2 linked regions of the Ovis aries genome follow. The protein of the gene in region 1 interacts with the protein of each later gene in a pairwise test. Links are inferred from orthologs where the notes say so. Each region holds a gene or a part of one and is shown in the gene's direction. Other genes may lie near its edges. The genes, in order: ATXN3 and RAD23B.

Region 1 (11,180 bases):
TTTAACTTTAGTTAGCGTTCAGAATCTTGTAGGACTCATGATTGAAGGAGCTGAGAAACTGATTTTTGCCTTTCACTAGAATTTCTGATTATTAAACCTAGATGGATCCTTGTCACAATAGTTTGTATTGTGGAGAACTTGGCTGTAAGCCTGTGGAGCCATTTCTTCCTTCTGATCTTTTCCAGATGCCCTGGTGCTAATTTGTTACTCATTGAAATTTATAGGTGTTTTTTTTTTTTTTCCTGTAGAGTATTTGAAGCTTCATACTTAATGTAGTAGCCACAGTCTAGCCACAGTGTTCATGGATTAAGCGTGAAAATACTGTTGAAAGTCTACCTGTTACAAATTTATAGTTTATGAGTAGGCGTTCTTAGCTGATACTTTCATAGCTGTGATATTTTTTCCCAGTGGTAATCTCCAAATCCATGGTATGTATAGAACCCTGAGCAAAACTCTACTTTATCAGCTATATCATTGTAAAACCTTAACTCCCATGTTATGAACATCAAATGAGGCAATGTATATAAAACTGTTTTGTAAACTGTGAAGTAGCCTACAGATACACTTAGCATTATTAATGCCTTCTGCAGATATAACTCTGAAATGATGCTGATTCTTTCTTTCTGTCACTAAAAAAGTGGTTCTTAACCAGGAGAGAAACAAGGGAGCCATTGCCTTCTCCAGGGGAATCTTCCCGACCCAGGAATTGAACTTGGATCTCCTGCATCGCAGGCAGATTCTTTACCATCTGAGCCACAAGGAAAACCCAATGTTTTCATAGTCATGCGTTACTGTGATTTTTTGATTACCTAATACTTGAACTACCACTTCAGTGGTGTGATGTAGTTTATCAGAGTCCAGCTTAAAAAACAGAGATTTTTAAAATGTTTAACTGGAGGATAATTGCTTTCCAGTGTTGTGTTGGTTTCTGCTGTACAACAATGTGAATCAGCCGTAAATATACATATATCCCCTCCCTCTCAAGCCTCCTTTGGACAAAGCGGAATCAGGATATCGAGTTTAAGAACACACTGCTTTAGCTGTGACCCTAAGACCAAGAAGCTGCCACCACAGTTGCTTAGACATGGGAACCTGCAGTCTGGCCCCCACTGCAGCTGCCAGGAAGCAGGATTGTGGAACTGGCGTCTCCGTGGCGTTACTTGCCAGCAGAGACCCACCAAAGCTGCAGGAAGATGACAGTACCTCCTCTGCCGTGTAAGTCTCAGGCATGTGTTTAACTGGTAGCCAGACTCCTAGCTCGAAAACAGTCAAAGACATGTCGTTTTCAGTTTTCCAGCCTTTCTCATGCTGAAGGCATGTTAGAAGGCACAGAGGGGAAGGATGCTGATTTACTGTTTGAACATGGTCCATCTTACAGTGTCCCCACGTAGGAAAGGTGTCAAAATACTCTCAAGGCTGGCAGTTGATTTACTTCTCACTTGGAAGTAGAATGAAGGTTCTCTCTCTAAAGGCACTCTCTCACCTATCACTCCCTTGCATTCTGAAATACTTTCTTGAATGGAGGGGGAGGAGGGCATGGAGAGGATGCCCCAGGAATTCCTTGTACCTCACAGCCTGTCTTTTTCGTGTCACATTCCAGAATCAGAGTATGCTTGTGGGAGCCCACTGCCTATGTGTCCTTTGTTAGCCATGCTCCCCAGAACCTGTGCAGACATCAGTGTCTGGCTCAGAGGCCAGCAGGGAAAAACTGCAAGTCCCACTGGCTGAATTTGCCTCGTTGCTTATATTTAAAACACAAGATTAAGAGGGGCCCTAGAAAAAAGTGCTATTCTATTCTATTTTATAGTGTTGTATGTGTTAGTTGCGCAGTCATGTCTGACTCTTTGTGACCCAGTGGACTGTAGCCCACCAGGCTCCCCCTGTCCATGGGATTTTCCAAGTAAGAATACTGGAGTGGGTAGCCATTTCCTCTCCAGGGGATTTTCCCAACCTAGGGATTGAACCCAGGTCTCCTGCATTGCAGGCGGATACTTTACCATCTGAGCTACAAGGGAAGCCCTATTGTGTTACTGGGCATTTAAAAATTCTGCTTCTTCCTGACTTCAGATTATACTACAAAGCTACAATCATCAAGACAGTATGGTACTGGTGCAAAAATAGAAATATAGACCAATGGAACAAGATAGAAAGCCCAGAAATAAACCCATGCACCTATGGGTACCTTATTTTTGACAAAGGAGGCAAGAATATACAATGGGTCAAAGACAGCCTTTTCAATAAATGGTGCTGGGAAAACTGGACAGCTACATGTAAAAGAATGAAATTAGAGTACTTCCTAACACCATACACAAAGATAAAGTCAAAATGGATTAAAGACCTAAATGTAAGACCAGAAACTATAAAACTCTTACAGGAAAACATAGGCAGAACACTGTATGACATAAATCAAGGCAAGATCCTCTATGACCCACCTCCTAGAGTAATGGAAATAAAAACAAAAGTAAACAAGTGGGCCCTGATTAAACTTAAAAGCTTTTGCACAGCAAAGGAAACTGTAAGCAAGGTGTAAGACCACCCTCAGAATGAGAGAAAATAATAGCAAATGAAACAACTGACAAAGGATTAATTTCCAAAATATACAAGCAGTTCATACAACTTAATACCAGAAAAACAACCCAATCAAAAAGTGGGAAAGAGACCTAAACAGACATTTCTCCAAAGAAGACATATAGATGGCTAACAAACACAAGAAAAGATGCTCAACATCACTATTATTAGAGAAATGCAAATCATAACCATGAGATACCACCTTACATCAGTCAGAATGGCCATCATCAAAAAGTCTACAAACAATAAATGCTGGAGAGGGTGTGGAGAAAAGGGAATGCTCTTGCACTATTGGTGGGAATGTAAATTGATACAGCCATGATGGAAGACAGTATGGAGATTCCTTAAAAAACTAGGAATAAAACCACCGTATGAGCCAGCAATCCCACTCCTAGGCATATACCCTGAGGAAACCAGAGTTGAAAAAGACACATGTATCTCATTGTTCATTGCAGCGCTGTTTACAATAGCTAGAACATGGAAGCAACCTAGATGCCCATCGACAGATGAATGGATAAAGAAGCTGTGGTACATATACACAATGGAATATTACTCAGCCACAAAAAGAAAAGCATTTGAGTCAGTTCTGATTAGGTAGATGAACCTAAAACCTATTATACAGAGTGAAGTGAGTCAGAAAGAAAGATAAATATCGTATTCTAACGCACATATATGGAATCTAGAAAAATGGTTCTGAAGAATTTACAGGATAGCAGTGGAGAAACAGACATAGAGAATAGACTTATGGACACGGGGAGAGGGGAAGAGAGGGTGAGATGTATGGAGAGAGTAACATGGAAACTTACATTACCATATGTAAAATAGACAGCCAACAGGAATTTGCTTTATGGCTCAGGAAACTCAAATAGGGGCTGTGTATCAACCTAGAGGGGTGGAATGGGGAAGGAGATGGGAGGGAGGTTCAAAAGGGAGGGGATATATATATACCTATGGCTGATTCATGTTGAGGTTTGACAGAAAACAACAAAATTCTGTGAAGCAATTAACTTTCAATAAAAAAAATTTTTTTTAAACAGTAAAAAAAAAAAAAGAAATACCTTAGAGGGTGAGGTTGATTAAAAAAACAAAGTATCATTCATTACTCCATTAAATAATTTTGTATTCATTAAAAAAAATTCTGCTTCCTTTAAAAATCCTTTTATGCGTTTTTTTGAAAGCTATATAGCTTCTTGCTTAGATTGTCAGCTGTTTATAAGTTTTTCTTTAATTTTTAGCATATACATATGTATATATATGAAGTAATTTTAAATTGATGTAAAAGCAGAAATAGTTCAGAGTTCCTTATACCCTCCACCTAGATTTCCCAATTTTTGATCTTTCTGAACCACTTTACAATAACTTACAATTTCCCATTATATTTCTCAAAGCATAAGTATATTTTCTGAGTATAAGGATACTGTCCTACCTATTTACATCATAACCATCATGTTTAAACGTTTTAATGTGTGAATTGTTATGACATGGATTTTCCTTTTGAAAAAAAATACAGGGAGAATTTACTTTAATGCAGCAGGTATTACTGAAACTTGATAATGCAGTTTAAATAGTTGTTTTCATTTCTTTCATTCATAAAGTATTTGGTGACAAGCACAGGTTTAGGTACTGGAGAAACAAGCAGGATCAGCTTTGCGCTCTCATTAGTTTATGATTCTACAGAGGGAGACAGGCAAAAGAATATCAGATGATGCTAGTTTATACTGAAAATTAAATGAGAGTGTGCGAATGGCAGGTGGCTGCTTTAGCTCGAACAGTCAGGAAATATCCTGTGTCCATGGGACTCACCAGGCAAGAATACTGGAGTGGGTTGCCATTTCCTCCTTCAAGGGCTCTTCCTGACCTGGGTATCACATCTGGGTCTCCTGCATTGGCAAGGCAGACTTCACCATCAGAGTCACCAGGGAAGCCTCTGAGGAGATACTGAAGCCTAGATACGATTGACAGGAAGGAGCCAGCCATGGAAGGATCATTTTAATCAGCCCGTAATTTGAGATGCTTTATCTTTTCAAAGGTGCTTATTTTCAGTGACTTCCAACAATATTAAGGACCTGTAAACCAACACATTTGCATTCAAACAGTGACTCTATTCGTACAATGTGTTATTTTTATGGTGAAAATACCTACCTGTTAATTTGTCTGATAAATTTGAATTTTCTATCTAGGTTTCCTAGGATCAGCACTGTGATGCTTTTCAGTAATTTATGTCAGACTGATTGCTCTTTCTTTAAAAAATTGAAGTGTAGTTGATTTACAATGTGTTAATTTCAGGTGTACAGCAAAATTGTTGAGATATATGTATATATGTATACTCTTTTTCAGATTCTTTTCCATTATATGTTATTGTAAGGTATTGAATATAGTTCCCTATGCTATACAGTAGGACCTTATTATATATTTTATATATAGTAGTATATATCTATTAATCCCAAACTCATTTATTCTCCCCCTGCTCTACCCTTTGGTAATCACAAGTTTGTTTTCTGTCAGAATGATTGCTCTTGCCTTCTTCTGGGGTGTTCAAGCCAGTGACACTTTTGTTTCGTGGAACCATTTATTTTCCATGGGAATGGTTTTTCTCATGGCATGTTTATTCTTGGGTTTTGTTTTTTGAATGTACTTTCGCTCTTGAATGTTTCAGGCAGCAGCAGCAGCAGCAGCAGCAACAAGCTCTGCCAGGACAGCTTACACATCTGTGTGAAAAGTCGAGCACAAGTTCTGAAGCACCTGACAGGGATCTAGGTACGCCTCCTGACCATACATCACGTTTCTTACCTGCATGCTCTCTTTGACACACAGCCTCCATGTGATTTTTGGCTTTGTAGGCTTTTTCTCCTCTCTTTATTATACTGAAATTCTTGAATGAATTTGTGACCTACTAAACTTTCTTGGATTAAGGAGCAGGCTAATTCCTTAATGTACTTGTGTCCTTAAAACACTCAATGAATGTTTTGCTTTAAAATTATAAATAGTACTTGCAATGTCACCGTAATTGGTACATTTTCCAAAAGTTTCTCAAAGATAATGAATAATAGTAGGTGGAAAATAAGTTCATTTTACTACTTGGAAAACTGAAAACACTTGAGTGTAGTCTGCATTACAACACAGAAGTCTAGAATTACTTATTAGACTTGGTTTAATAAATAGGTCTTGAATGTTGGCCAGTTATTGGTGGTAGAAACTGAGTGCAAAAGAAACTATCCAACAAAGAACTTGTAAGTAGGACATGAAAAGAACTCTCAAAACTAAGAAAATAACTCAAAAAGATGGGCAAAGGATTTGAACACTTTACCAGGTATATGGATGAAAATTGGGCATATGCTCAACATCACTAGTCACTAGGGAAATGCAAACCAAACCCACAAAGAGATGCCATTACACACGTACAAGAAAGACTTAAGAAAGTAATTAAATTGACAATACCAAATGCAGGCAAGAATCAGAGCAACTGGGACTCTCATACATTGTTAGTAGGAGTGTAAAATGGTACAACAATTCTGGAAAACAGTTTAGTATTTTCTTACAAACTTAAATGTACACTTAACCGTGGAATCCAGTAGTCCAACTCCTAGTTTCTAACCAAGAGAAAAGAAAATTAGATTCACACGAAAACTTACTGTGAATGCTCTAGCTGATTTGTTCATAATAGCCCCAAACAGGAAGCTGCTTAAAGGTGGTTCTTCAGATGAATAGACACAGAAACTGTTAGATCCAAACAAAGGACTACTATTAGCAATAAAAAGGAATGAACTGGTACTTTTTCTTACACATTCTGCTAAGTACAGCTAACAACCCTGGGCTTTTGTGTAAAGCAAATATAAGCAGAATCTGAAAGGCAGAGAGAAGACAGACTGGTTGGGAAGCTCAGGACCAGAGAAAGACAGAGTGGTTAGTAGCCTCAATTTTCTTTTTGCCCCAAGAAAAGCCTACTCTGTGGAGTCATTGATCATAGACAAAGCAAGGAAATTCCAGAAAAACATCTGCTTGATTGACTATGCTAAAGTCTTTGACTGTGGGGATCACAGCAAATTGTGGAAAAGTATTAAAAAGATGGGGATACCAGATCACATTACTTGTCTCCTGAGAAACCTATAAGGAGGCAAAAATATACAATGGAGAAAAGACAATCTCTTCAACAAGTGGTGCTGGGAAAACTGGTCAACCACCTGTGAAAGACTGAAACTAGAACACTTTCTAACACCGCACACAAAGATAAACTCAGAATGAATAAAGATCTAAATGTAAGGCTGGAAACTATAAAACTCCTAGAGGGAAACATAGGCAGAACACTATCTGACATAAATCACAGCAAGATACTCTATTACCCACCTTCCAGAGGAATGGAAATAAAAACAAAAATAAACAAATGGGACCTAATTAAACTGAAAGCTTTTGCACAACTAAGGAAACTATAAGCAAGGTGAAAAGGGGGCCTTCAGAATGGGAGAAAATAATAGCAAACAAAACAACTGACAAAGAATTAATCTCAAAAATGTACAAGCAGCCCATGCAGCTCAATACTAGAAAAACGAACGACCCAATCAAAAAGTGGGCCAAAGAACTAAGCAGACATTTCTCCAAAGAAGACATACAGAGGGCTAAAAAAAACATAAAAAGATGCTCAACATCACTCATTATCAGAGAAATGCAAATCAAAACCATAGTGTACCATCTCATGCCAGTCAGAATGGCTACCATTAAAAAGTCAACAAATGATAAATACTGAGGAGGTTGTGGAGAAAAGGGAACCCTCTTACACTCTTGGTGGGAATGCAAACTGGTACACCTACTATGGAGAACAGTATGCTAAGTCACTTCAGTCGTGTCTGACTCTGTGCAACCCCATAGACGGCAGCCCACCAGGCTCCCCATCCCTGGGATTCTCCAGGCAAGAACACTGGAGTGGTTCGCCATTTCCTTCTCTAATGCATGAAACTGAAAAGTGAAAGTGAAGTCACTGTTGTGTCCGACTCTTTGTGACCCCATGGACTGCAGCCTACCAGGCTCCTCCATCCATGGAATTTTCCAGGCAAGAATACTGGAGTGGGGTGCCATTGCCTTCTCCAGGAGAACAATATGAATATTCCCTTAAAAACCTGGAAATAGAACTGCCATATGACCCAGCAATCCCAGTGCTAGGCATACACAATGAGGAAACCAGAATTGAAAGAGACACATATACCCCAGTGTTCATTGCAGCACTGTTTACAATAGCTAGAACATGAAAGCAACCTAGATGTCCATCGGCAGACGAACGGATAAGGAAGTTGAGGTACATATACACAATGGGATGTTACTCAGCTATAAAAAAAGTGCATTTGAGTCAGTTCTAATGAGTTGGGTGAAACTGGAGCCTATTATACAGAGTGAAGTAAGTCAGAAAGAGAAACACCAGTACAGTATATTAATGCATATATATGGAATTTAGAAAGACAGTAATGACAATCCTATATACAAGGCAGTGAAAGAGACACATGTAAAGAACAGACTTTTGGACTATGTGGGAGAAGGTGAGAGTGGGGTGATTTTGAGAGAACAGCATTGAAGTATGTATATTACCATAGGTGAAAATAGATGACCAGTGCAAGTTCGATGCAGGAAGCAGGGCACTCAAAACTGGTGCTCTGGGACAACCCAGAGGGATGGGATGGGGAGGGATGTCAGAGAGGGGTTCAGGACGAGGGGACACGTGTGCACCCATCCCTGTTCATGTCGATGTGTGGCAAAAACCACCACAATATTGTAATTATCCTCCAACTAAAAAAAAACCTAGACAGTGTATTAAAAAGTAGAGATATTACTTTGCTTACAAAGGTCTGTATAATCAAAGCTATGATTTTTTCAGTAGTCATGTATAGATGTGATAACTGGACAATAAAAAAGGCTGAGCACTGAAGAATTGATGCCTTCGAACTGTGGTGTTGAAGAAGACTCTTGCGAGTCCCTTGTACAACAAAGAAATCCAACCAGTCCATCCTAAAGGAAATCAACCCTGAATATTCATTGGAAGGACGGATGTTGAAGCTGAAGCTCCAGTACTTTGGCCACTTGATGTGAAGAGCTGACTGACTGGAGAAGACCCTGGTGCTGAGAAAGTTTGAAGGCAGAAAGAATAGAGGATGACAGAGAATGAGATGGTTGGATGGCCTCACTGACTCATTGGGCATGAGTTTGACTGGACTCCAGGAGATAGTGAAGGACAGGGAAGCCTGGGGTGGTGCAATCCATGGCATGGCAGAGTCGGACACGACTGAGTGACTGAACAACAATGGGGGACTGTATCCCACCTGCCACAACTAAGAGTTTCCATGCTGCAAGTAAAAGATAACCCCTGTGCCGCACACAACGCACACACACACACACAAAAAGATCCTGCATGCTGCAACTAAAACATAGCATAGTCAAATAAATAAATACTTAAAAAGAACAGTAGGAGGAAAAAAAATATGTGTAAACACAATAGACTTGCCTCTCCTTTTCAGTTTTCTAAATTATATTTTATGAATGCAGGAAGAATTATAACTGATTTGGTTTTTACTGTAAATTATAGGAAATACTTAAGGCAATTGTAATCAGAGGAAAGTAGAGGGAGGTAAGATTTTTAACTTTCATTTGAACTGGTGCAGCCACTCTGGAAAATAATTTGGTAATTTCTATAAAACCTGAATATACAGTGACAATACAGCCATCAGTTATATTCCCATTTAATCCTAGAGAAATTAAAAGTTCTATCCATGCAAAAACCTGTACTTGAATGTTCATAGCATCTTTGTCATGATAAAAACTGGAAAAAACAAGTGTGCTACAGTAGGTAAATGGCTAAAGCAACTGCGGTACATCCATCCCACGGATACATCTCAGTATTAAAAAGAAACCAGGAACTTCCCTGCTGGTTCAGTGGTTAAGACTTCTGTGCTTCCACTCCTAGGGGCACAGGTTAGGTCATTGGTCAGGGAACTGAGATCCTGCATGGCATGTGGTGTGGTGAAAAGAATTAAAAAAAAATTTTTTTTTAACTTTTTTTAAAAAAGAAACTAGTTGCGGATACATGCAGCAGCTTAGATATATTTCAAGGGCATTATGCTGAGTACAAAAAAATAAATCTCAAAAGATCTCACACTGTAGGATTCTAAGTGTGTAACATTCTAAAAATGACAAATTGATAGAGATGGAAAGCAAATTAGCAGTTGCCTGTAGTAAAGGAATGTCGGAGGGACAGGGAAGAGAAGTGAGTGTGGACAAACAGGGATGGCAGGAGGGAGATTTTGGTGGTTCTCAGTCTGGACTGTGGTGGTGTTGATGGTGGTGGTTACACAGATCTTCACATACAAAAAAATACCATAGAACTACGCACAACATTGTAAATACCAATGTCAGTATTCAGATTTAGGTTTGAGCTGAAGTTACGTAAGATTTAATTATTAGGTGAAATTTAGCCAGTGTACACAGGACCTCTTTGAACTATCTTTGCACCTTCCTGTGCATAAATAATTATTTATCAAAACAAACTTTTCAGGTATGTATGTATCATTGACAGACACAAAGTTAAATTTTCTTTCCCTTAGCATAATGCTTTTGTTTAAGATGCCATATTCAAAGGTTACATACACAATGCATGATTCCATTTGTGTTGACATGCAGGAAAAGGCAGAACTGTAGGGCAAAAAACATGTCAGTGGTTGCCTAAACCTAGGGATTGGGACTGACTGCAAAGACAGCATGAGGGAATATTTGGGTGCATGGAATGGTTCTGTCTGTATCTGGGTGGTGGTGATGGTTATACCACTTGGTATTTGTCAAAACTTGAGGAACTGTCAAAGAGTGGATTTTACTGTCTGTAAACTTTCAGAATCAAAAAAAAGGAAAGAAACTATAGTAGTCAAGTAAATAGTTTCTGAGCACTTACCTTTTGATGACTTTGGAAATTTTCCAGAACTTTCTAAGGAATGTGTGTTTTATCCCCAACAGGTGATTCTATGAGTGAAGAAGACATGCTTCAGGCAGCTGTGACCATGTCTTTAGAAACTGTTAGAAGTAATCTCAAAACAGAAGGAAAAAAGTAATACCTTTCACAAATCATTTAGATATTCAGTCTTTCCAATATTGTCCTGTGTGATTACAGCATAGGGTCCATTTTGGTAATGTGTCAAAGAGAACAATTTTCAACAGAGGAAAAAAGGCTTAGGTGGTTTGCAAACAAAACAATAATAAGGTGGAAAAATACATCAGTTTTAGGCCTAAAAAATGATCCTCCAAACACTAGCCAAAGAGGCATTCAGCAATTAAAGAAATTTAAAAGAGTTTTCTAAATGTTCTTTTTTCTTTCTTGAGTGTGCAATATCTAACATATCTAAAATTAGGGCATTTTTCTTGGATCTTTTTGCAGACCAACTAATTATAACTAGCTCTGGCCACAGAACTTTCCCCACACACTTTGTCTTCTTTTCCTCCCTTCTGCATAGTGAATCTGGCTCACTTTTATCATCTAAGAGTTGCTCTTATTTCTCTTTAACCAAATTAACCTTGTAGGACAGTGTATTCTCCGTTTTGATAATAGCAGCAGTTCCAGGATAAGCTGTTTTCCTTCTGACTGTATC
Region 2 (11,180 bases), on another chromosome or scaffold:
CTTTAGGATCTAAAATGTACCCAACCTGCATGTAGACACTTCTGTTTGAGTTTTTATATCTTGACTAATTATGAGGCATGGCATTAAGGATTAGGTGTGGGAGCTCTAGGGTCTAGACAGCTTGTATTTGTATCTCTGCACCATGGCTTAATAGCCATTGATCAAATTGTTAATCTTTCTAATAAGCCTCAGCCTCATAGAGTTCTTGTGAGAATTGAGTGAGAAAAACACTATGTTAAAATAATATAGTTCTGATAGTCCACAGCACTTGATTTTATTACTGATACTGTTTTCTTTATCTGAGAACTAGATTACTGAAAGTATACTGACTCTTTGAGTGCTTTGTGCTAGAATTGTATCAGTGGGTAATTAAAAAGTTGAAATTGCTTAAGTACTTAATGGAATAGGAAGGGAAAAGTCATTAAACAAGATATCAAATGTTGAATTTGCTCAGTGATACTTAGTTTTTTAAGCTATATTTTCATAGCTGTTAGAACTTTATTGAAAATTTTGCCATCAACAAAGTAAAAAGACTTATAAAATGGCAAGAAAATACTTGCAGCTATATATATGTATATGATAGGTTAACATCCTTGATATATAAAGAACTCATGCAACTCAATAGTTTAAAAAAAATGGGCAAAGGAATTGAATAGATATTTCTCCAAAGAAGATGTACAAAAGTCCAACAGAAATATAAAAAGAGGCTCATCATCACTAGTTGTTAGGAAAACTTGCTTTAAATCAGAGTGTTTTCTGACATTTCCATGAAGAGTGAGTTGGGGTTGGAGAGCTCTCTGGGAAATGACTTATAGAGATAATTGTACCATTTTATATGGTATGAGACATTCTGACTTTCTTGCTTCCAACCCCTATTCCCCTCTGCTTTGATAATAAAAGGTGTCAAAGGAAAACAACTTATTATAGCACAATTGATTGCTTGAGATGTCCCTGCTTCTTGCTTTCAAAAATCAGTTCATCTGTCTCCTCTTCCAGGTTGCCAGCCTCGACTTCCTAATTCTGTTATATGTTTGTGCTACCTTTGTGCTTGATATTTTTATTATGTGTTTAACATACTGTATTAGTTTCCCGTTGCTGCTCTGTATCACACCTTAGTGGTGTAACACAACACATTTATTATCTTACTGTAGTACTGTAGGCTAGAAGTCTGACATGAAGCTCTCTGGACTAAAATAAAGAGGCTAACTCATTGGGCTAAAATCAGAGCTGCATTCCTTTCTGGAGACTCTGGGGGAGAATTTGTTCGGTGTCCTTTGTGACTTCTAAGAGACTAACCACATACCTCGGCCATACCGCCTTCCTCTGTCATCAAAGAAGCACATAACATCTCTGCCCCTGCTTTTTTCTCTAACTTGCCCCCACTTATTTCTCTGACCCTCTCATCTGCTTCGCTCCTGCTTTTAAGGACCCTTACCATTACATTAGACCAACCCAGGTAATCCCGGATAATTTCCCTATCTTAAAGTCAGCCGATTAGCAACCTCAATTCCCTTTTGCTTTGTAACCTAACTTACTCGGAGTTTCTAAGGATGGGGGGAGGTGGATTGTTCTGCCTACCGCATGTATGTTGTAGTAGTTGTATGTGTGTTTTAGTTACTCATCGTTGTGTTCCTAACACTGTAGTGCCTGACAGTGTATGCATACATATACACACACTGAAACTATGTGGAGAATGTTTGTTTATTGAATTTTCTTTCTCTTTTCCTTTTTCCCTTCTTCCACCCACACACACATCTTTTCTTAGTGACAGGTCAGTCTTACGAGAACATGGTAACTGAGATCATGTCAATGGGCTACGAACGAGAGCAAGTGATTGCAGCCCTGAGAGCCAGTTTCAACAACCCTGACAGAGCAGTGGAGTATCTCTTAATGGTGAGAAACATTTTGCTTTCTTGGTTCTAGTTGTTTAAGGATGAAATCTCAGAGAAACAGAAATTTTAAAGAAACAGTAGCAGTTCGTAAGATAATGGTGATGTATGCTCATTTGCATAATGCTTTTATTGGGTTGATTTAATTAATGCTTTTATTGACATTTATTGGGTTTTCAAAAAGTTCTTTTGGGGTTTTCCATTACATCTTACGGAAAAATCAGCAAACCTTTTGGTCAACCCAGTATTTTTCTTAGTGCATTATCATTTTCCGTTAATAAAGTATAACCTCTTCTAAAAGATTGTGATAAGACTTTGAATCAGAAAATGTCACTAAATGGATTTTAAAATTGGCTATCCACTTGGGGTATTAGTGTCTAACCTAGTTATATCATCCTCTGAGGATGAGAGCTGTGTGTTAGAGGGCTAAGGGTGGGGCAGGTTTTCAAACTAATTGAATCCAACATTTCAGTAGCTTTTTTGCCTGCCAAACATGATCCTGGATGTACTATGTAGAGTGAAAGTTTCAAGTTGGAAGTCCAAGTCAAATTTTGTACTATGTAAGTTTTTGTATTTAGTTGCTAGCTTTTAACAATTGGGAGAGTTTGCTGAAAAGTTCAGATAATTGATTTATCTGGACAACTCAGATCCCAGATTTTCACAAGGGTTTAGGGGAAATTTTAGGTTGTAGACTGCTCTACTAATAAAAGTTTTTGAGAAATAGATTGTTATGGGCATGAACTGAAACCCTTGATATTTTACAACAACGAATGTCTGTTTTACAGATGTGACACAGACCAAAAGCAAATTGTAAAAGTTTGCAATAATATTGGATTAATTTTTTAGTTTTAAGATTTTATCCTGCAATTGTCGTTGGTGTGTTAGAATATTATCAAAAGTCTGTATTACCCTAAACATCATCTCAGATCCTAACTCCTTGGAGAATACCGTCCACAGTTCAACCCATTCCCTTGTTTCTAGGTGTGCTTCTGGTAGAAACTCCTTTTCAGTAGTTTCAGAGTAGTTTCAGAAGAGTCCCCGTCATGAGCAGATAATTGCTTCTCCTCCAGTCATTTCCTGCTTACTGGCATGAGGTTCAGAAAATCTTAACATACCATTTAACTTTTGAATTCTTTTTCCCATTGTCCACTTGAAAGTCTGTAAAATACTGACAGTTCATTTAATTATCAGTTTGAAATTGAGGAATCATACTGGATTGAGAGTTATTGTGGATCAGTTTATGGTTGCCCCTCATTCCTCCCCAAAAAATGTGTATTGCATAAAAACATTGCCTTTCCTTTTATAGAATGGCTTTAATTTATACCTGATTTTGGAATTCTGCATAATTTTAATGGTGTCATCAAATATTTTGACCCAGTAGATTTGAAATTTTGGGGTTTGAAAAAAATGAATTACTCTTTTCACAGTTGCTACTATTTAGCATCAAATGCAAATAAATAGATGAGAGGTTCATGGAAACAGTTTATCCTTTAGTTTCAATTGAAGCAGGCACTTGTTTTGGTGCTTTGAACTGTTGCTAGTTTTTGATGAATCTATATAAGTGCAAGTGAGTGTATAGAAAGAAGTAATAATCTAACAAAAAGCTAAATCTTGTGTGTGAGGATTTGAGGTAGATCTGTAGCAATGGTGATTAACTTTTGACTTTAGCTAACTTGTTTGAGAATTTGATGGAGGCTTTTGGACCCTCGATCTGTATATAGTTTGTCCGCACTTGATAGCTCCTCATTTAAGGGTTTGAATTGGTGGGTGGCTTGCAGTGCCTAGAGGGACATCCAATATAGCAATTATTATCCTGCTATTTATTGTCCTTCATTCTTTATATGTTTATGATTTTAGCTTCTGATTTACTGGGAAATGGAAGTGATTACTAACACCATCTCATATTCATATACAGTATTTTCTTCTCTATTCCCTTTCCAAAACCTATAAAGGTTATTTGATAGCTATATGTGAGAAGTCTTATAAATCATTTTTATCAAAATAGAGTGTTCCAAAAATCTTAGTGCAGTTTAAAGTTATAATAACTTCAGAAGATAAATGTCATAAACTTAGAAAAATTATCACCCAAAACTTGAAGATTTTTTTATACCCATTTACTTTTTTCTTTCTTTCTTCCTTTGGGCCATACCACACAGCTTGTGGGATTTTAGTTTCCTGACCAGGGATTGAACCTATGCCCTTTGCAGTGAAAGTGCAGAGTCTTAACCACTGAACTAAAAAGTCAGATATGTCCTAATAAGATTTGTGTTGATATTTTGAAAATTTAAAAAATTAGCTTTTTAGTGTTGGACAGTATTATATGCAAGTTTAGGATCTTGCCTGATACTTTGGTGTTAGATATTAATATGTGTTGCTGTATAAACATCATTTCATGATTTTTTTTTAATTAATAAAGTTCCTTTATGTCTTAGATCTACACTATCTAGTTGGGTAGCTATTGAGTACTGTTAAGTACAAGTAAGTTAATACTTAACTCTTTTTTTAAGTGTCTTAGTACCATTAGCCATATTTCAAGGTCTCAGTAGCTACTTGTGGCTAATGGGTATTTTTATTGGACAACATAAATATAGAGGTGTTCCGAAATGGAAAGTTCTGTTGGGCAGTGCTGCTGTATATAATAGCAGTATGGATTCATCCATACCACATTGAGGCCATTTCTAATCTTGAATATGTGCAGATTTTGTTTGTGTTTATCCTTTACTTTGAATTGAAGCAGACGTCTGTTTGATGCTTTTAGAAATTAGACAAGGATATTGAATAGACACAAAGTTTCTTCTTCTGTGTAATATTTAAGTAACTTTGAGTGAGGAGCTATTCTAAAGCTTGGAAATCATGTTACAGGGAATTCCTGGAGATAGAGAGAGCCAGGCTGTGGTTGACCCCCCTCCAACAGCAAGCACTGGGGCTCCGCAGTCTTCAGTGGCCGCAGCTGCAGCAACCACGACAGCAACAACTACAACAGCAAGTTCTGGAGGTAAAGTGGAAACTTTTGATGGGGAAGAAATGGCCATGAATTTTCAGTTTAAAATAGTTTAACCTGAAATTCTTTTGAGGTGACGTTCATTCTCAGAGCATCATAATTCTTAAAATCTCTTCTAGTGTTAGAGAAGGGCCCAGAAGAAACAATACTACGTGGATATAAAAGATACTCTTATTTTAAACTTCATCACTGCAGTTTTGGTAAAGGACATATTTCTGTTTAGCTCCTTCTAAGGAAGAGATGCTTCCCATTTAGATGCTTGCATTTAGTGTTATATTCAGAATGGTTTGCGCACCTTGTCTCTTTCTCTCCCTATAAATATCATAAAATATAATTCCAACACCAGCAGGATCCTAATGGTTATTATAGAAGCAAGAAAATGAAACCTAGTATATTTAATATCTTGTATCTAGAGGTGAAATCAAAGCTTGAATTCAGGTATCTTTACTGACTAGCACCCACACTTGAGTTGGCAAAGGTTTGACTAGGAAGCAAAGCCTAGAGCCTGTGAGAGGCCTGGGAATGTTCTCTTTCATTCTTTCTTCTGTAAAATTGATAAAGTAATTCAAACTGTTAATTTTGAAGAGATCATTCCTTTATGTATTTCCTAGCTCTAATTATGGCAGTCAGTTCTGGTTGATAAAAATCCCTAAGCACTTTGTGTACAGTCTCCCAGAGGATAAGCTTTCATTTCCTGAGATTCAGCATGGAAATGGAGGAGGCAGAGCTTTGGTTCAGGTTTGGGGTGCTGTCCCGTCCAGTGGTACTTACTGAATAACTTAGTTCCTGAGTCTTGTTTTCTTCTGTAAAACTAGTGTTACACAAAGAAGAGTAAATAACCGTGCTCTGTGGCCATTTTAATTTGAATGATTGTCTTGAATAATGCAGGAGATAAGAACGTACATCTAGAAAATTCTCACTAATCTTCGTAAATACAATTAAAGAGGGTAGGTTTTTTTGTGTTTCTTGGTTTTGGTATATATATTTCTTAGGAACTTTTGAGCATCAGAAACAGCTTCTAATGCTTTTTATAGAGTATATGCAGGCACAGGTTGTCGGTGTTATTTGATAGATTGAGTGCCCCAGGCAATTGTAGGAAAACGTCCTGCTTTTAGTGGTCTGTTCTCTCTGCGTTGTGTGCTGTGCTGTGCCGAGTTGCTTCCGTCGTGTCTGACTCTGCAGCCCCATGGACTGTAGCACGCCAGGCTCCTCTGTCCATGGGGCTCTCCGGGCAGGAATACTAGAGTGAGTTGCCATGCCCTCTTCCAGGGGATCTTCCCAACCCAGGGTTGAACCTGCATCTCTTATGTCTCTTGCGTTGGCAGGCAGGTTCTTTACCACTAGTACCACCTGGCAAACCCACTCTCTACCTGAGCTAGTAGGAATAATTTCTGCAGTATAAGACTTGCAAGTTGGTACAGTTTGAAGATTGTCGTTACTTCATTTTATATACATCTTAGAACTCAAATCATTTTTTTTCTTCACAATGTTTGCTGTCTAAATTATGTTTGTTATTTTTGTTTAAAAATGTTTCTGTTTATTTTAGGACACCCTCTTGAATTTTTACGGAATCAGCCTCAGTTTCAACAGATGAGGCAAATTATTCAACAGAATCCTTCCCTGCTTCCAGCATTGCTACAACAGATAGGTCGAGAAAATCCACAGTTACTTCAGGTGACTGTTTAATCAGTTTCAAAAATGTATTAACATTTTGTAGAAGTCAATGGGCACTCCTTCCCCTCTACCAGGTGTATAAACTGTTCTTCCAAGCTACCCTCAGGAGAATGTTATAGAGGTACTGATAAAAAGAGAATTGGGGTGGGGGTGGGGTTAATTTAGTCAAATACTAAGTTTGGGAAACACTTTATTAAAGAATATGAGAAACTTTCGCAAAAAGAAATATTTAATTTTCTAAATCTCTCTTTCTCAAGCTTATTACTAGAGGTGCACTGCCTCTTAGAAAACATACCTGTGGGCTTATTTTATTGTTCAGGTCATGAAGTATTTGAGTTTTGTGTAGCATTCTACTGCCTGCTAGTTGTGGAAGATAAAAATAATATAGACATAAATATAATTTTTCTTTTAGCCATCAAGTAGTTTTTTAATAGTAATGGGGGAGTGGAGTGTTTATGAAAAAGAATTTGAATTCTTTTAATTCTTCACTGTTTACCTCCTTCAGAAATACTGAGTTTCTTTACAAGAAATCACATCCTTCCAAAGGCTGACTAATCCAGAATCATTCTAAAATAATGCAGTTGCAGAGTTGTAGCTTTCCTTTTTATTTGTATTAGAGTTCTTGTTTTCCTGGAGGTACTTTATAACAATGTGTTGTTGTGTTCTTTAAATCGCTGCAGCAAATTAGCCAACATCAGGAGCATTTTATTCAGATGTTAAATGAACCAGTTCAGGAAGCTGGTGGTCAAGGAGGAGGGGGAGGAGGTGGCAGTGGAGGAATCGCAGAAGCTGGAAGTGGTCATATGAACTACATTCAAGTAACGCCTCAGGAAAAAGAAGCTATAGAAAGGGTGAGTCTACGTGAAACTTAAAAATTCGGTTCCTAGTCACACTAGCCATGTTGCAGATGCTCAGTAGTCACTGGGGCTAGTGGCTCCTGCATCGGGTAGCCTAGATATAGAGTATTTCCATTGTGGAAGATAGCTCCTATTGAGCAGAGCCCAGTAAAGCATTATTCATGTAGGGATTGCAGTGGAGACAGTCTCTTCTCAGCCCTACTCTCATCATGTTCTTTGTGAAGCCCAAGAACCAGCATTAAATACCAGTCTAGCATGAAATTGTTATAAATAAATCAAGCTAAAGATTTCATTGATGTTTTAAAATTCAAGAAGAAAAAAGTATATGCTCAATTCAGGATTATCCTTTTTTAAATTTATATTTCAAATTTTATTTCACTGTTGTCTCTAAATATAAATATGTGTGTGAATTATATAAAATATGTATAGTGGATATCAGAACCTGATATTTCAATTCTCTTTTCACCCTTATCAGGTCAACCTGTACAGGTTGTGCCATTGCAGTATAACTTAATACTTAGAAAATCATCGGAGCTTTAATTTGTCTTTATGACATAACCATATAAGTGTTCAAGGTTTATAACTAGTATTTCTTAAAAGGTACTTTATATATTGTGCTGTTTTACCTCCTCAAATAATAGAAATGACAGTAGACAATTGCCTCACTTGTTCTGTAGCAACTTTTTTTTTTTTTTTGAGACTGTCCTTGATTTCTGTGTTGGAGAAATTTTCTTTTTGTTGCTTTTGCTTTTGGTGTTATACGAACATTGCCTTACCCAAGGTCAGAGGACTTGAGCCTGTGTTTTCCCCAAAGAGTTTTATAGCTCTTATTACATTTACGTAATGAAAAATGTCTATGCTCCATTTGAGTTAACTTTTTGTTTATAATGTGAGGTGTAGGAGTCTAGATTATGTTTCGCCTGTATAATATCCAGTTGCCCAGCACCGTTTATTGAAAATACTTATTTTTATTCTTTGACACTGTTATAAATAGAATTGTGTTCTTTTTATTTATTTATTTTTGGCCACACCAACACATATGGGATCTTAGTTCCCTGACCAGGAATGAAACCCATGACCCCTGCATTGGAAGCACAAAGTCTTAACCACTGGACCATCGGGGAAGTCCTTAGAATTGTTTCCTTAATTTCAGTTTTTAGATTGTTCATTGTTATATGGAGATACAATTTTGTGTATCATGCAGTTTTGTACACCAAAAGTAAATTTTGTGTACCTTCTTTAACTCAGTTGTTAATTCTTAATTTGTGTGTGTTCCTTAGGATTTCTGTGTGTAAGATCATTTGAAGGTAGACATAGTTTTACTTCTTTTTCAATTCAGGTGTTCTTTGTTTATTTTTATTCACATATATACCAACTTGCTTAATTGTCCTGCCAGAACCTCCTCTATTGTTGAATAGCAGTGATAAGAGCCGACATCCTTGTCTTATTCCCGATATTAGAGGAAAATGAAATACTAAGTCTTCCACCACTAAGTTTGATGTTTTCTGTGGGTTTCATTAGATTCCTTTCATCAGGTTGAGGAAGTTCTCTTCTGTTTCTATTACAGTGGATGTTTTTATCACAGAGGATGTGAGGTTTTGTCGATTGTGTGTTGATTGAGATGGTCATGTGATTGTGTCCCTTTTTCTGTCAGTATACTTTGTTGTGCTGATTGATTTTTCTGTGTTGGCTCAGCCTTGCATTCCTGAGGTGAATCCTCTATGGGCGTGGTGTTTAATGCTCTTTATGTGTTGCTGGAGTTGACCTGTTAGTGATTTGTTGAGGATTTCTGCATCTTCATGCATTAGGAGTATTGGTCTGTAGTTTTCTTACGGTGTCTTGGTCTGGTTTTGGTGTCAGGCTAGTACTGGTCTTATGGAGTCAGTTCCCTCCTCTTCTCTCGTTTGGAAGAGTTAATGAAGAATTGGTGTTGATTTTTCTTTAAATTGCTGGTACAGCTCACCAGTGAAGTTATCTGGGCCTGGCTTTTGGGGAATTTTTGTGATGACTGGTTAAGTCTCTTGTCATAGGACTTGTTCAGGTTTTCTGTTTTGTTTCGTTTTTTTTTTTTTTTTTCTTGAGTCAGGGTGGTTTTTGTTTTTCTAGAAATTTGTTTCATATATGTTGTCTAATTTGTTGGCATAAGCTGTTCTTAGTATTCCTTTATTGTTGCTTTCGTTTCTATAAAAAGTAATAATAGTGTTCCCACATTTATTTTCTGATTTAGTCATTTGAATTCTCAGATTTTTTTTTCTTGTCAATTCAGTAAAGGTTTGTTAATGTTGATTTAAAGGGAAAAAAGCAAGAATTTTTGGTTCTGTTGATTCTGTATTTTTCTAGTCTCTATTTTATTTCCTTCTGTTTGCTTTAGATTTAGTTTCCTCTCCCCCCCCCCCCAGTTTCTTAAGGTGAACTTAGATTACTGATTTACTATCTCTTATTACACAGGCATGCCTTGTTTTATTGTGCCTCGCTTCATTACATTTTGCAGTTAAGTCCTTTTTTTACCAATTGAAGGTTTTTGACTGTTAAGATGATGGTTACTTTTGACAATAAAGTATTTTTAAATTAAAGTATATACATTGGTTTTTAGACGTGATGCTGCTGCACACCTAGCAGACTGCAGTATAGTGTAAACATGACTCATGTGCACTGGAAAATCAAAAATTCTTGTGACCTGCTTTATTGCCACATTCGCTTTATAGCAGTATTCTGTAGCTGAACTTGCAGTATCTCTGAGTTGGACCTGTAGACATTTACAACTAGAAACTTCTGCAAGAACTGCTACAGCAACATGCTGTAAATTTCAGTGTATTGACATTTTATTTTCATTCATCTCAGTATTTTCTAATTTTGTCAGTTTTTGATCTGTAGGTTTTTTAGGGTTTTATCAATTTCCACATTTATGAATTGTCCAAATATCCTTCTTTTATTGATTTCTGAGTTCATTCCATTGTGGTCAGAGAACATAATTTGTGTAACTTTAATCCTTAGAAACTCACTGGGGCCTGTTTTGCGGCCTGACCTGGTCCTTGGAGACTGTTCTGTGTGTACTTGAGAAGGGTGTGCGACTTGCCGCTGTTCGCTGCTCTGTGCATGTCTGTTAGGTCTGGTTGGTTTAGCATTTTTTCAGGTTTTCTACTTGCGTGTCTTCTGCCTTCTCTTATCCGTTACAGAACTTGGAGATATTGATGTCTCCAGCTATTGTTGCATTTTTCCCTTCAAGTCTGTCAGTTTTTGCTTTATGTATTTGGGGGCTTTGTTGTTCTCTTTGTTTATAATGAAGTCTTTTTGATTGTTTAATCATCATAAAATGTCTTTGTTTTAGTCACAATTTTAATTGAAGTCTGTTTTGTCTGGTATTAATATAGCCACTTAAGCTCTCTTTTTGTGTAATTATTTGCATGGTATATGTCTTTTTCTATCCTTTTACTTTCAGCGCACTGTGTCTTTCAATCTAAATTGTGTGTCTTACTGTAAAGCATATATAGTTGGATTGTGCCCTGTTTACCTTTTACTTCAGCTAGCCCAGCTTTAATGTGGACAAGACCTAAATAACAAAATCATTTTTTAGTTTCTTCTCCTTTCATGGATGAGTATAATCATGCTGAATTAGGAGTTTTGCCTGGTTTTTAAATAAAGGTCCTTTCTTGATACAGTCTAATGCAAGGGACAAATATATGGCACCTGGGGAATTAGATTAATTCACCTGAGTGTTTGCTACTGCTAAGTCACTTCAGTCGTGTCCGACTCTGTGCG

The links.
Region 2: the proteins of ATXN3 (region 1) and RAD23B interact in a two-hybrid assay, tested with the Homo sapiens proteins (2 studies listed by BioGRID and IntAct). The link is inferred for Ovis aries from reciprocal best matches to the Homo sapiens genes ATXN3 and RAD23B.

What each region holds. Positions count from the first base shown.
Region 1 is NC_056071.1:54,566,910-54,578,089, reverse strand, and holds part of ATXN3 (ataxin-3), read left to right. Parts: intron 1-5,224; coding exon 5,225-5,325; intron 5,326-10,551; coding exon 10,552-10,646; 3' UTR 10,647-11,180. UniProt on the Homo sapiens protein: Deubiquitinating enzyme involved in protein homeostasis maintenance, transcription, cytoskeleton regulation, myogenesis and degradation of misfolded chaperone substrates.
Region 2 is NC_056055.1:15,812,685-15,823,864, reverse strand, and holds part of RAD23B (UV excision repair protein RAD23 homolog B), read left to right. Parts: intron 1-1,765; coding exon 1,766-1,893; intron 1,894-4,751; coding exon 4,752-4,884; intron 4,885-6,436; coding exon 6,437-6,564; intron 6,565-7,244; coding exon 7,245-7,415; intron 7,416-11,180. UniProt on the Homo sapiens protein: Multiubiquitin chain receptor involved in modulation of proteasomal degradation. Binds to polyubiquitin chains.